2 linked regions of the Caenorhabditis elegans genome follow. The protein of the gene in region 1 purifies or fractionates together with the protein of each later gene. This does not show direct contact. Each region holds a gene or a part of one and is shown in the gene's direction. Other genes may lie near its edges.

Region 1 (7,475 bases):
TGCTATACCTTTGCATTGGAACATTTCTACTCTCTTCTCAATACCTAATAATTGTGTATTGCGGGCTTCAAATGCATTTTCAAATGCAGAAAGAGCTGCAAAAGTTTTCTGTCGCCAATCGAAAACTTCAACAGCAATTTTTCAAGGCGTTGGTTGTTCAAGTTACGGTCCCGACCATAACTTTCGTTTTGCCAGCAATGCCACTTTTGCTAGGCCCGTTGTTTGATTTGAAGATGTCTTTCAAATCTGGAGTTATTTGTGCATTATTGGGGATCTACCCATTTATCGATAGTATACTGTTTATGTTAATTGTAACTGAGTACAGAAAACATCTGGCTACACTTTGCAATTGCTTTGGCAAGAAAAATCATGTTCAGAATTCGCAATGTTTAACTATTTGAAAATGTTTATGTATACTTGAAAAAATTCCAAATAAAATTCTTAAATATTTGCCGAACGTCTACTGTCCATTTTTATAATGTTTTCCTGCAAAAATTGTATCACAAACCGCATGTGACGTCACACTACATAATTCCAAGGCGGCTGCGTATTCAGGAGCACAACCGTGTATGGTTTACCAGAACTTACCAGTCATAAACGCGCTCCATTGCTACGCGAGAGAGAAGGTGGAGTGTTTAGAGAAATTTACAAAAAGGGTGAACACCATCGATTCTTTTGGAACATCATTTTTAGTAATGTCTTCTAGTTCTCAAAATGTAAGTATATTCTATTTTTGGTTTTTTTTAAATCAAATCTTTGTTACAGATAAAATGCGGATGGAATGGATGCGGCGACAAATTCAGCTCAGAACTTGATATGAATATGCACGTAATGATGAATCACTTGATGATATTGGAATATGGAGAATTTGTGATGAATCGGCGAGCAGTGAACCGGAAAAGAGCTCGAGAACTTGCCAGAGAGGTATGGTTTTTTTTCAATTCAAATTTTATTTTTTTCCCGCTCAAATGAAAATTCCCCCTACAAGAAACTGCTGCGACTTGCTCAAAAATCGATAATTAATTATTCTTTGATTTATTATTTAAAACATAATTTGTCTTGTTTTCAGACGTTTTTAAATAAAAGAACATTTTTGTTTTTTGTAACTCTTTAGTCAGTTTTTGGAAAAATGTCTGAAAAATTTAAAACTATGTTTCAAATGGTAGATCAAGGGCACTTTCTAATTGTTAAATTTGAAAAAAAAATAGAAAAATTAAGAAAAATTCTACAAATATTTTAAACATGTGTATTTGATATATTGAGACTGTATTATGTTATTTAGCGAAAAAAATTAGTGTTTCCACAATTTCAAAAAAAATCTGATCATAATTTTTTTCAGGAATCCATGGAAATTACAAGCGAGTCGTTACACAATCCCAATGCTCTGCGGGCAGTCAAACGTGAACCTGTTCTAGAAGTCCGCGAAGTTGAGGTTCCAACTGTGAATGTAGCACCAGTTCCCGCACGACTTCCGGACTTTTGTCCACCGGCTCGAGTTCCAGAGCATCTCCAGCTTAACGGCTTTGAAGATCAGCAAAGGGATCACGAAAGTTTGCAAATCAAAGCAAATATTATGCCGGTGAGCATGCCAAGTACTGCAGATGGGCCATTAAATCGTTTCTCGCCCGATCTAGTTGAAAACGATGCAGGATCAGATTCATCTTTGCAAAATGGCAACGATCAGGCTCAATTTGATGCTCAGGAGTATCAAAATCAGACAGCAGTTACTGTAAGTTTGAACATTTTTTGAATAAACAACACTTTTCCTAATTGTAAATATTTTCAGCCCCTAAAGCTAATCGAAATCATCGACGAATTTCTGGATCGACTAAAACCGATGAAGCAGCTTGGATTTGTTCGACCACATAAACCTGTATACTGTATTGTGTGTTTGAAGTATCAAAAATCTTTCCACACTTGTAACTGGAAACATACACCCGGCGAGGATCGGGTCGCAGAAATGTGGTATAGGTATGTTTAATATTATCAATTTGGGATATTTGGCTTAAGGGCTTAAGTTTAGGCTTAGGCTTGAACTTCGGCTAAGGTTTAGGCTTTGGTTTCGGCTTCGGCTCAGACTTGAGCTCAGGCTCAGACTTAGGTTTGGGCTTAAGCTTAGGCTCAAGCCTAAACTTCGGATTAGCCTCAGGCTTTGACGTAGGCTTGGCGTCAGTGGCGAGCGTCAGCCTAAATTTTGGTTAAACAAATTTGGAAGTTTTCTCGAAATTTTTGTAGCTTTTAAACATTTTTTTTGCTGAGAAAATCTGCGTTCAATTTTTTTAAAATTTTCAGACGATTTGGCAAAGAGAGACCAAACGGTAAAACTCAGCTAATGAAGGAGCTTTGCGATATCAGACAATGGATCATACAAGAGGGAGGACTTGGAACTTTCCAATAAACTAATTTATGAAGATTTTGTTGTTTAATAAAATTTGTTCACTTACCAATTTCAGCGTTCATTTTTCGATGTCTGATCAATTGGTCAGTGATATTTTATCAGTTGGATTTTTTGTACGCCTTGATTTAATTTTCGGGGGAAACGTCATAAATTTAGGCGCGCCTGTGTAAAAAAAAAGTATAAATTTCTAAATTCCCAAAAAAAATACTATCATTCGAAAAACTGCACATTAATCGGTCTTATCAGTAAAAGTCAGCATAGTCTAACACATTTTTTTTCACACTTTTGTGGTTTTTTCTTTTAATTCCTGGAAAATTTCGCCGGTACAATGGAGCAATGGAAAGTGATGGTCCTGATTTGTATGTATGGAGCTGTAAAAGAGTTCCGGCCCACCGAACCGTACATGTATGAATATCAGCATACAGTTCTGAATATGTCAGAGCAGACTTTGAATAGTCAGGTAATTTTGAATAAAAAACTCTGTCGAATTTTATGAAAATTGTAAATTACTGTTTTTATTAATACAAAAATTTAAAAAATTTAAAAAAAAAACATTAGGGAATTTTTTCTAGAAATTACTAGAAGCAATCGACAAATTGCCGGTTTGCCGATTTGCCGTAAATTTTTAATTTCGGAAAATTGCCGGTTTGCCTATTTGCCAGAAATTTCCAATTCCGGCAAATCGCCGGCTTGACGTTTGCCGGATATGTTTAGAGGATTTTTTTTATAAGACGGAAACCCTTAGAACTGAGTCTTTTTGAAAATTTTCCCGTCTTCTTTAAAAATTTTCATAGAATTTGCTTACTTTTAAAAATAGATGTAGGAACATTCAAAGGATGAGTACAATTTTGCCGATTGAAAATTAAATCCAGAAAATTTCTAAAAAAATGTGCAAAACCAAAATTTGCCAAAACTGTTCGGCAATTGCCGTTTTCAAGGCAAATTGGCAAATCGGCAACTTGCCGGTTTGCCGATTTGCCAGAAATTTGCAATTCCTGAAACTTGCCGATTTGCCAGAAACATTCAATTCCGGCAATTCGCCAATTTCCCGATTTGCCAAAAAAAAATCGTTCGCCGCCCACCCATGTAACATTTGTTTAAACAAAGTTAGTGAATTCAAAAAAGTTTTCCAAAATTTCGAAAAACTATTTTTTTTCTTACTCGAACCCCCGTCAGTAGACACCGAATTTTTTCCAACGATCTTTATACAGCGCTTCGCAAAATTCCAATTTTTCTAAATATTCATGAAAAATGCTTAACTTTTTATTAGTTGAAATTTATTTCAGGTGTACCCTATTTGGACGTACAGCTACTTGATCACCCTGATACCAGCGTTCCTACTCACCGATGTATTTTTATATAAGCCTTTGCTAGTTTTCGAAGCGTTTTCCTATTTTCTGTGCTGGGTCATATTTGTATTTGGAAAGAGTGTCTGGAGTCAGCAAGTTCTTGAAGTGTTCTATGGATGGGCTACTGCAACGGAAATTGCGTATTTCGCGTATATTTATGTGAAAGTTCCAAAAACCGAGTATAAATCGTAAGGTCTTGTACACTTGGTGCCAGGGGCGTCCCATTATGGTTTGATCTAAAAAAAATGCGGGTATTTTTAGTCCAAACTATGCAAATTCAGTTGAGAACTCTTCGTCTCTTCTCCCGCATTTTTTGTAGATCTACATAGATGAAACCGAAATGGGACACGCGGACACCACGTGCTCTATTAAAAGTATGTACCTAGATCTTCCAATTTCTAAATTTTCAGAGCAACCGCTTTTACAAGAGCAGCACTCCTCGTCGGTCGATTTCTAGCTTATGCTCTAGCTCAACTCCTCATTGGCCTTAACTGGACATCGTATTCAACTCTTAATATTATCAGTTTGGTCGCCATGACAATTGCGGTATTCCTGGCATTAATATTACCTGGTGTTGAGTGGAAGGAAGCTTATGAGAAGAAGCTGGAAGATAATAATGTTCAAGGCAATTTAAAAGAAATCGTTGATCAGTCAAGTTATATGGATTACCTTAGGATGTTCTTTGTCGGGTTGCGGCATAATTTAATGGCGATTTATCGCAATCCGCTGATTTTGAAGTGGTCTGTTTGGTCGGCTCTTTCGAGTTGCATTTTTTATCAGGTACATCACGGGGTTCTGGCAATTATCATTGCATTTTTCGCGCTCCATTGACAATCGCCTGCCGAACAGTGCGTGGGAAAGTCGTGTACTCCACACGGACAAATACACTTAGTTTTACAATTAAAACCGAGCCGCTACGCGACATGCAACGCGCCGTAAATCTACCCCGGTCTTGGCCGAGTCAAAACGGCCTAGTTCGGCAAATTCTTGTTTAATATTCTGCTAACTTTCGGCTTCATTTTTTGGGAAAATGTTCAGAAAACATATGATATTTTGACAACTCAATAAGATTATATAGACTTGCTGGAAGCTTGAAGGTTTAAGCTTAAACACAAAGCTTAAAGCTTGATCTCAAAGCTTATGCTTTAAGTTCCTTATATATTTCTCAAATTCCAGGTCACAAACTACACCCAAACTTTATGGGGTACACTTCCGGAGTCTGCGAATCGTTATAATGGTATCACCGAAGCCCTCGTCCCACTTCTTGGCATCCCAGCTGACCTGATCACCCGCCAGCTCAACGTGAATTGGAACCGATGGGGAGACCTTCTCCTTGCTGTTGGCTCCATCGGACAAGCCGGCCTACTTTTTTGGATGTCACAATCTCATCATATCGTGGTGTTATACCTGAGTTACATATTCTATAGAGTCATATACCAGTTGACCACTACGATTGCTCAGTCTACACTGGCCTTTTCCCTGGACTCTAGACTATTTGGCCTACTCTTCGGGATTAACACATTTGTTGCTCTCCTTCTTCAATCTATTCTGACCGCTGTTGTCATAGATTGGCAGAAGCTGGATATTAGGCCACAGGTTTGTTTTGAGTATCTGAAAAATTTAAGAAACAGTTTTTTTCAGTTTGTGGTCTATTCATGTTATCATCTTGTCGTTGCATTTGGATTTGCTATTATTTTTGGAATTTGGGCGAGCAGGCGGTTTTTCAAAACGAGTACTAATTGATTTTTTGTTAACTATACTATAATATATCTAAAATTTGGGAACACTATTATGGATGAAATGAGGAAATATTTTGACGCGGAACTCATTTTTTCTAATATCAGAACAAAACACATGTTTTTAATGTTACATTTCGCAAATTTTGTGATCTAATTGGAACTTTTATCAAAACATAAAATATTAAAGTACATCCCTTTAAAAATGTTTTGACCTTCTACAATTTCTAGTATAATTTGACTACAGAGAGGGCGATATAAAGTCTACATTTTCTGTGAACTTCTGCATTTTCAATTAATTAAAATAACAGACTCGTAAAATGTCGGCTGCTGTGTATGTGTAAAAATATCGAGAAAAATTCACGGATTTCTGGCCATTTTGGCTCGGCCAGATCTGGAGTAGATTTACGGCGCGTTGCGTGTCGCGTCACGGCTCGGGTTTAGTTGTAAGACTAAAAGTATTTGTCCGGGTGGAGTGCACGACTTTCTCACGCGTTGTCCGGCAGGCGACTGTCGATGGAGTGCGAAAAATGAAAATTTCAAAAGGGATAATCATTGAGAAAAGATGGAGAAAAGAATAAAAGTTGTGAATTTGGCTAATGTAATAACGTTCATTCATACGACAACGTTAAAAGAATTTTGTAATTGATTGCTTTTATCTGTCACTATTATAGTAGGAGAATTTCTTTGCGGTTTCCAACACAATGAAAATGTAAAATCTCGATACGGCTTGTGAACCAATATCATTACAATCGTAGACACACTTCCATGTAGTGACAAGACCAAGTATCCCAAATTGTTCAATTTTTGGTTGTGGTACCAAAACATCATAAAGCAAATAAAAGTTGTAAGAGGTACCAACACAATTCCAGCTGTAGATATTGACTGAAAAAAATTAACTTTTAAAAAAGATATAATCACCTAAAACAGAGCAATACTCACCTGAATACTAACCGACTTGAGAAATTTTCTATGAATTGCCAATGTCTTTGCGGAAAGTGTGACCAACTTTTTTTTGGTTAACAAGTGATAAAGTGTCATCGAGAAAAATGTAATAATTGGAACAGCCAAAAATAAGGATGCAAATGCAATGCAAAGTAGTGGTATTACAGGACTAATGCTCAACACAAAGAGCTCTTCATCGTTAAATGTAAATTTTGGCAAACAAGGAAGTTTAGCCAAGATAAAGCTTTGAGCAGTTTCTTGCTCGGGAATAGTTAGGAATGGTGGTAGAAATATAAAAGGTATTGAAGTATAGACAGCGATGAGGTAGGCTTTTCTGATATGTTTCCATGTGGTTTTATGGGCAAACAGTTTGTAAAATCGATTTTCGTAAATTGAGAGGACGGCGGCAATCATAGCTGAAAAATTGTGTAAATTCAGTGGAAAACTATATTTTTAAAAAGGCAAACGATTTTTTCCGGCAAATCGGCAAGTCGGCAAATTGCCGGAATTGAAATATTCGGCAAATCGATAAACCGGCAAATTGCCAATTTGGCGATTTTGCCCAAACATTTTCGGCAAATTGTATATTTGCATATTTTTTGGAAACTTCAGAATTTCAATTTCAATCGGCAAAATTTTATGCATCTTATGAATGTTCCTACATTTGTTTCGAAAAGTTAGCAAATTCTATGAAATTATCTTTTAAAAAACGGGAAAAAATTCCAAAAAAAAAAACGCAGTTTTAATTGTTTCCGTCTCATAAAATAATCCCGCCAAACACTTCCAGCAAATATATTATCCGGCAAATGGTGAATCGGCAATTTGCCAAAAATAAAAAATTACGGCAATTCGGGAAACCGGCATACGGAAAATTGGCAATTTGCCAAAAACAAAATTTTTGGCAGATCAGCAAATCGGCAAACCGGCACTTTGCCGATTTGTCGGCCGAAAAAATTGCCGAACGGCAATCGCAGCACTCCCCTGACTTCATTACATTAAAAATTTTTGAATGTTATTAAACTAACCTAAAACAAGCGTAACTCCTAC
Region 2 (6,834 bases), on another chromosome or scaffold:
TCGATTGTTTTGTAGTTGTACACACACATACAGATATCTCTGACCGATGGACACGGACAGTCCGTCTTTAACCAAACCTGTTTTCAATCTCAATCCGTCTTGTCTCGGCCCACCCGTCTGTCTTCGTTTTCTCTGTGTCTCTTGCTCTCACGCCTTCATCGTTCTGATTCCGAATCCAGTTGAAGTAGTACAAATTAAAGTTATAATTACTGTTTAAATGCACTTTCAGTGTAGAATGATGAGTACTCACGTTTTAAGTGTACTAATAGAAGTCCTAACTTAGAACCTTTCTTCAATATACTGCGATTGATCTTATTAACTCACAATATACGTAATTATGGGATATTCATTTTGGCAAGAATCATCTTCGGTTTTTTATATGATAATTCTAGATGCGAGTTCTTTGTTTATGAAACTAGAGCAAGGCTTGAATAATCGTAATATCTGTAACTTTAAAATGTCGTCTCCGTAGTTTTCGAATTTAAAATTATTATTCCTAGACCCTATTATTCTCAAATCTGTAGGTTTGTTGGTTATTTTTATAAATTAGCTTTTTATGTTTTCATTCTTTAAAAATTCAAGTTCTGAGAGATTTTGAAAAACATTTTTGTAAGTCTCAAATTTACTGTAAACTGCACAATATTCTTACGTTTAACTGTGTATATCTTTATTACCATTAACTTTAAATATGTGACTTTGCTTTAAACTACTCCAAAGTCGAAAAAACTCACAATTGGATGGAGCTTGATTCGAGAATTTGGATCCGCAGCGGCAAAAATTCTATAATTATTCTTCCCTTTGCGTCTTGATAATAAATACGGTTTCAGGTTTTTCCAAAGAAAAATAATGCATCAAAATAGCTAGTGTGAAACTTACGCCCCACCGGATCCAAATTCCTGAATGAAGCTCCGCGACTTTTTGTACCAAATTCCAGAAGTGACAGTCGACCTTTAAACGTGCTCTTTATGTTTTTCGATGCTGATTCTTCTAGACTTTATCGAAGACTGAATAAATTAATTACTATAGTTTCATTCCCCACCTGGAAAATAACGGCAGTTTTCATGTTGAGGCTTTCCATGCGCCTTTAAACGACGATTCACCATTTCCCGAGTTAATAATAATCAGAACCTATCAGAGAAAATGTATTTTTTAGTCCCATGGTCCTGATATGGTGCTTTATGTGACGTGGCATTTTCCTTGACTCCGCCTCCTCGTATCAAATTCATTAATCAGTTATATGGGGGGACGGACACAGTCAGCAGGCCTTCCGAACAGGTTGACAAGGGATAGATATGTATGGGGACGGGAGGACTATTTGGTGAGAAGAGGGGACAATTCTCGTGATGATCACCTTATTTTATCTTTTCAATTTTCCCGCCATCGATTGTTCTAGAATCCCAGAGATTTGGCGAATATTTTAGTTTTTCTCCTGAAATTGATCGAACTATAATATGATATCTCTTCTTTCTTGATTTAATTTGTCATGCGTCAAGATTATTATTCAAATCAACAGTTAAACTATTGCTACTTAAAAAATGTTATTTTTTGAAAATGACTTTAAATACCTGAATCTTGAAAACAATGTTTATTAATTCAAACTAGTTCTGCAAAAATTTCAAAATACCATATCACAAGTCTAATAGAAAATCACATGCTATCTCCTAAGTTAGTGATAAATAAAACACTTTTATTGCCAATCTCTTTCTAACCAAATTATTTTAACTGTTTTCATTTTTATTCGTATTTAACTTCGATTCAGTTCTTTTATTATTTTTATACTAATCTTCGATATTTATATCTCAGTTCGTTACTAGAAAAACCTTAAAATTTAGAAAATCAATATGTTATTTCCTCTAATAGTCGTGCATCTCATCACCTAATTTGGACATCCGAATTCTCGGGTTTTACCAAAAAATTGTCAATTCACAAAATATTGATGATTTGTTTACCTTCAATTATTTAGGAAAACAGTTATTAAATGAAGACTAATCGAGAAAATACGGTCAGATAAGAATAGCCAAAATATTATTCAATTTTTTTATCCAACCAAGAGTTGAACCGACCATTGATTTTGAAAATTTGGTAACAGTTTAAGCCAAACAGGCAACTTGGAACTTGTGAGTAAACGAAATACTTTAAGCAGTGTAAGTATGTGAGCTTCAGGCGTACCTTCATGCCTAGCATCTCTCTAATACCTGCTTACCAATTCATATCAATTTTTAAACTTTGATTAATTATGGATCTCCCCATTTGCCAGACTGCCTTCTTGAATATATTTTCCCCTTTGCCTCTAGAATCCACCAACTAAATTGTTTTTAATTTTCAGGCGCAGCCTCATAACTCCCCCGCAATCACATATATTTTATTCACAATCATCCATAATTAATCACCACCATCAAATGCTTCGAGAATAATTAAAAAATGATTCTGAGGTTGCTCATTTTCACAGCGTTGGCTGTAACAACCGCCAATTCAAGTACGCGGCAACAGTCAACGTTTCATTCAATTCAAGGTGAGAAGGTTTTGTATTTAAAATCGATAAAAGTTCTATCAAGTTAAAAACAATTCTGTTTTTTTTTCTGGTTTCAGATAAATTTTTTTATTATTATTTCAAAAATCTGTAATTTTCTTATTGCCAGGGGTAGTACTCCAAATATTTATATTCTATAATTGTAAATTGTAAGTCCGAATTCTCTGCACCATTTTATGATTGAAAATAAAAAAAGTTGCATTCTCTAAATTCTTTTAGATTGTTAAAAACTTTCTATTAAAAAGGTTTCTGTTAAGTGACAATCTTTCTGAAAGATTTGGGCTTTTGTAAAATTGGTTTAAAAAATATTTACCGTTTTCTAAAATTATGAATGGCAGAGACTGAGTATTTGCCATTTTTTGACTGGAAATTAATATTATTTTGAAAAGTTTCAATAATTTCTTGACTGGCGTTCAAATAATTTATTTCCCGTAGTTTTTTTTGTTGAAATTTGGGCCCTGCCTCCAGACATTTCAAACTTGACCTCTCTACATATCACCAAAGATAGAAGCACAAATGTTCACAAAAAAGGTGCATAAAAAACAGGAAAAGCTCAAAAGGTGTTCAAGAGTGACCTATGTGGAGCATTGCTTCGTGAGGTTCGGCGCACTTTTGTCTGCACGAGAAGCATACTCGCGCACCTCATAGCACAAATAATGTCTCTCTCTCTCTCAATTGGAATAGAGAAAAGTCTCAGAGTTAGAACAACAAACCAACAAAAGTGAACAAATATATGATAATATTCGACAAAGGAATATACACTATTAAAAACATTAATTGTTCCAAGAATTTCGAGGTTTTCATGATCTTTTCACATCTTATTTTAAAGATGGAATAGCGCCACTAGGGAAAATATTTAAAAGAATTCACAATGGTTTTTGGCAAATCAGGTCTTTTTCAAAATTTACCAGCAACATTAAAAATTATTTCCAATTCATTCAAATATTTTCCTTTTTTCTACTTTTTGTTTTGTTTCAAACAAAATTTGTCATCATATTTTTCCTCGCCTCCGAAGTTTTCAAGCGGTGTAAATTAAAGTGTGATTAGTATTTGTTTGTTGATGTGGTTACTGAATGATACAAGTTTTTTTGACCATCGTTTTTCAAACAATCATTCCAAAAAAAGTGACAAAAAAGGGAGGAAAACTGGCTTCAACCCCATAGATGACCACTACACCGTGTCAAACATTTGATTTAGTTTTAGACAGCTTTTGGTCTGCCCTTGTGATGTTTAATCTTAAGTTACAATGTCAAAAGGATAGAAAGATCGGATAGTAGGGTTTCCAGTCGTTGTTCCAGGAGTGCGCGGAAATTAAAATTATTTTGCAATTTTTCTTCCTCGTTAAAATAATTTGGAAACTGTAAAGCAAAGATTTTGAAAAATGATTCAGAAAAATCAACAAAAAGTATTTATTTTTTATGTAGAGATTTCGTTCATCTCTTTGAATTTTTAAATGTCAATAGGCTTGGTATATCACAGAACAGTTAAGTACCGTAACTTTTGGAATATTTCAGAGCTTTTTAGAAATCAATGTGATGAACAATATTTTCTGCCAAAAATGTTTAACATTTAAACGAAAACATGCAACCCCAAAAAAATGGAACAATACAAATTGACAGTAGGCTGAAAGCAATCTAAAATTTTTGCAGTTGACTCACCGCCATCAGTTCGTTCTCGAATAATATCTGCATCAGTAAACACAGCTTCATCAGTATGCAACGAGAATGACTTTAGATGTAACGATGGAAAATGTATACGTACCGAATGGAAATGTGATGGATCTGGTGATTGTTCAGATGGCGAGGATGAAAAAGATTGCCGTAAGTTTGAATATAAAAATGTTCCCAAATCTTTTGGTCTGTTTCAAAAATTCATTTCTACGAGACTAATTGCGACAATTTTTTTGCGAAAATAATAAAAGTTGTTAAATTCTCGAACCCACTCCTCAATTTTCAGCACATCCTGGCTGTAAATCTGATCAATGGCAATGTGATACCTACACATGGCACAGTGTCTCATGTATTGCCGAATATCAAAGATGTGATAACATCACTGATTGTGCAGATGGATCAGATGAAAAGGATTGTCGTGAGTTTTTTGCTTTAATGTTCAAATTGAGAAGGCTTATTTATAATAATCTGAATTAAAATTTTCAGCTGCTTCAACTGTGGACTGCAGTTCCCAAAATGTATTTATGTGTGCTGATGGGAGACAATGTTTTGATGTGTCGAAGAAATGTGATGGAAAATATGATTGTAGAGATTTAAGTGATGAAAAGGTAATTTTCAACTTAAATTAGTTATTTTTTTAGTTATTCTTAATTATTTTCTCAGGATTCTTGTTCCCGAAATCACACAGCCTGCTTCCAATATCAATTCCGTTGTGCTGATAAGACTCAATGCATTCAGAAATCATGGGTTTGTGATGGATCGAAAGATTGTGCTGATGGATCTGACGAACCTGACACTTGTGGTACATACCTGAAAATTAGAAGTTTCTTTCTGAAAATATGATATTTCAGAATTCAAAAAGTGTACGGCCAATGAATTCCAATGCAAGAATAAACGTTGTCAACCTCGAAAATTCCGTTGTGATTACTATGATGATTGTGGTGATAACTCGGATGAAGATGAATGTGGAGAATACAGATGTCCACCTGGAAAATGGAATTGTCCTGGTACTGGGCATTGTATTGATCAATTGAAACTTTGTGATGGATCAAAGGATTGTGCTGATGGAGCTGATGAGCAACAGTGTTGTAAGTTTTTCAATTTAAATAAAATGAAGTAGGTAGGCTTGAAGTAGGCACTACGCAGGCATGTAGGCAGGCATGGAAAGACTAGGTATGAATTAGGCGTAAAGTAGGTAGGTACAAGGTAGAAGTAGGTACATCATAAATGTTCCACAATTTTTTAGTCGATTGCCAATATTATCTTTGTTTTTTTCAAAAAACGGTTTCAACAAAAATATAAGTTCTAACTGCCTAATTTTCTATTGCATAAAATGCCATTTGCCGAAAGATCGCGCGTCCAAAGATCAGTAACGTCTTTTTTATCACTGAAATCCCATTAAATAAACTACCGATTAAAAATGTATATGATTGCAGCGCAAAACCTGTGCCCATCACTTGGTTGTCAAGCAGGTTGCCATCCATCACCACATGGAGGTGAATGTACGTGCCCAAGTGGATATAAACTCGATGATCGTTTCCATAGAACATGTTCTGATATCAACGAATGCGCTGAATTTGGATATTGTGATCAATTATGTGCAAATCATCGTCCAGGCTTCACATGCTCATGTCTTGGAGACTGTTTTACACTTCAAATGGAACATGGTCCAGGAAAAGATAACCTGACAATGAGAGGATATTGTGTATCAAATAATGCTGATAAAATGAAACTTTTCGTTGCAAGAAGAGAGGGTCTCTACAGATTAAATCCTAAAAATCCAGATGAAGAAGTCAAGAAATTGGCTTCTGGAGAATTCATTTATGGTATTGACTTTGATTATGGAGATCGTAAAATCTTCTGGACTGATCGTCTTGCTCATTCTGCATTCAGTGCTGATGTTGATGATGAGGGAGAAATTTCACAAATCAAGTTAGTTTTTTTCTACCAAATTTAACTTAAATTTTGAAACAAATTTATTAGAAATATCCCAATTTTTAATTTGAATTCAGCAAATATACTTTGTGGCTTTCGAGAAACTTGAACTTACGTTGTATATTTCAGAAAGTTGAGCTTGAAATCTCTTGTCTATCCACGTTGCCTTGCCGTTGATTGGATTACAAATACCCTTTACATCATTGAGTCTGGATCAAGAAGAATTGATGTATCATCATATGATGGAGAACGAAGAACAGTTCTTCTTGCTGATGGCCTTACACTTCCACTTGATATTGCTCTTGATCCACTCAGAGGGTATGTTTTATTCTAAACGGTCAAATTTTACTCTGTAATTTCAGAGAAATGTTCTTCACAAATCAGCTCAAACTTGAAGCAGCTGCAATGGATGGAACAAATCGTCGAACATTAGTGAACACACATACTCATCAAGTATCTGGAATTGTTGTGGATATAACTGCAAAGAGGGTTTACTGGGTTGATCCTAAAGTTGATCGACTTGAAAGTATTGATTATCAGGTACGGGGACTTTGATCAACATTTGAAAGTGTGATTTTTTTTCTTAATCTGTTGGAAAACGCAAAGCATGCCATATATGTATATTATAGAGACGGTACTTACCTTTTACATATATTTCTTCAAATATGATTAATAGTAAGTCAAACAGGTTACAATAAA

What was found. Proteins that work in one complex are often made in the same cells at the same time.
Region 2: the proteins of folt-2 (region 1) and lrp-1 fractionate together in Caenorhabditis elegans (co-fractionation; one large-scale study listed by BioGRID). This does not show direct contact.

The regions. Positions count from the first base shown.
Region 1 is NC_003283.11:2,870,730-2,878,204, reverse strand, and holds folt-2 (Folate-like transporter 2), read left to right. Parts: upstream 1-2,604; 5' UTR 2,605-2,726; coding exon 2,727-2,858; intron 2,859-3,684; coding exon 3,685-3,935; intron 3,936-4,157; coding exon 4,158-4,527; intron 4,528-4,923; coding exon 4,924-5,343; intron 5,344-5,388; coding exon 5,389-5,490; 3' UTR 5,491-5,740; downstream 5,741-7,475. Other genes in the region: str-39 (Seven TM Receptor), read left to right, coding at 1-401; F37B4.10 (C2H2-type domain-containing protein), read left to right, coding at 696-716, 766-924, 1,340-1,729, 1,787-1,971, 2,293-2,398; srh-243 (Serpentine Receptor, class H), read right to left, coding at 6,099-6,368, 6,426-6,844, 7,454-7,475. UniProt on the Caenorhabditis elegans protein: Unlike folt-1, does not appear to act as a folate transporter.
Region 2 is NC_003279.8:7,611,850-7,618,683, forward strand, and holds the start of lrp-1 (Low-density lipoprotein receptor-related protein), read left to right. Parts: upstream 1-2,326; 5' UTR 2,327-2,421; coding exon 2,422-2,512; intron 2,513-4,179; coding exon 4,180-4,350; intron 4,351-4,486; coding exon 4,487-4,618; intron 4,619-4,686; coding exon 4,687-4,808; intron 4,809-4,863; coding exon 4,864-5,002; intron 5,003-5,051; coding exon 5,052-5,288; intron 5,289-5,636; coding exon 5,637-6,132; intron 6,133-6,264; coding exon 6,265-6,453; intron 6,454-6,497; coding exon 6,498-6,675; intron 6,676-6,834.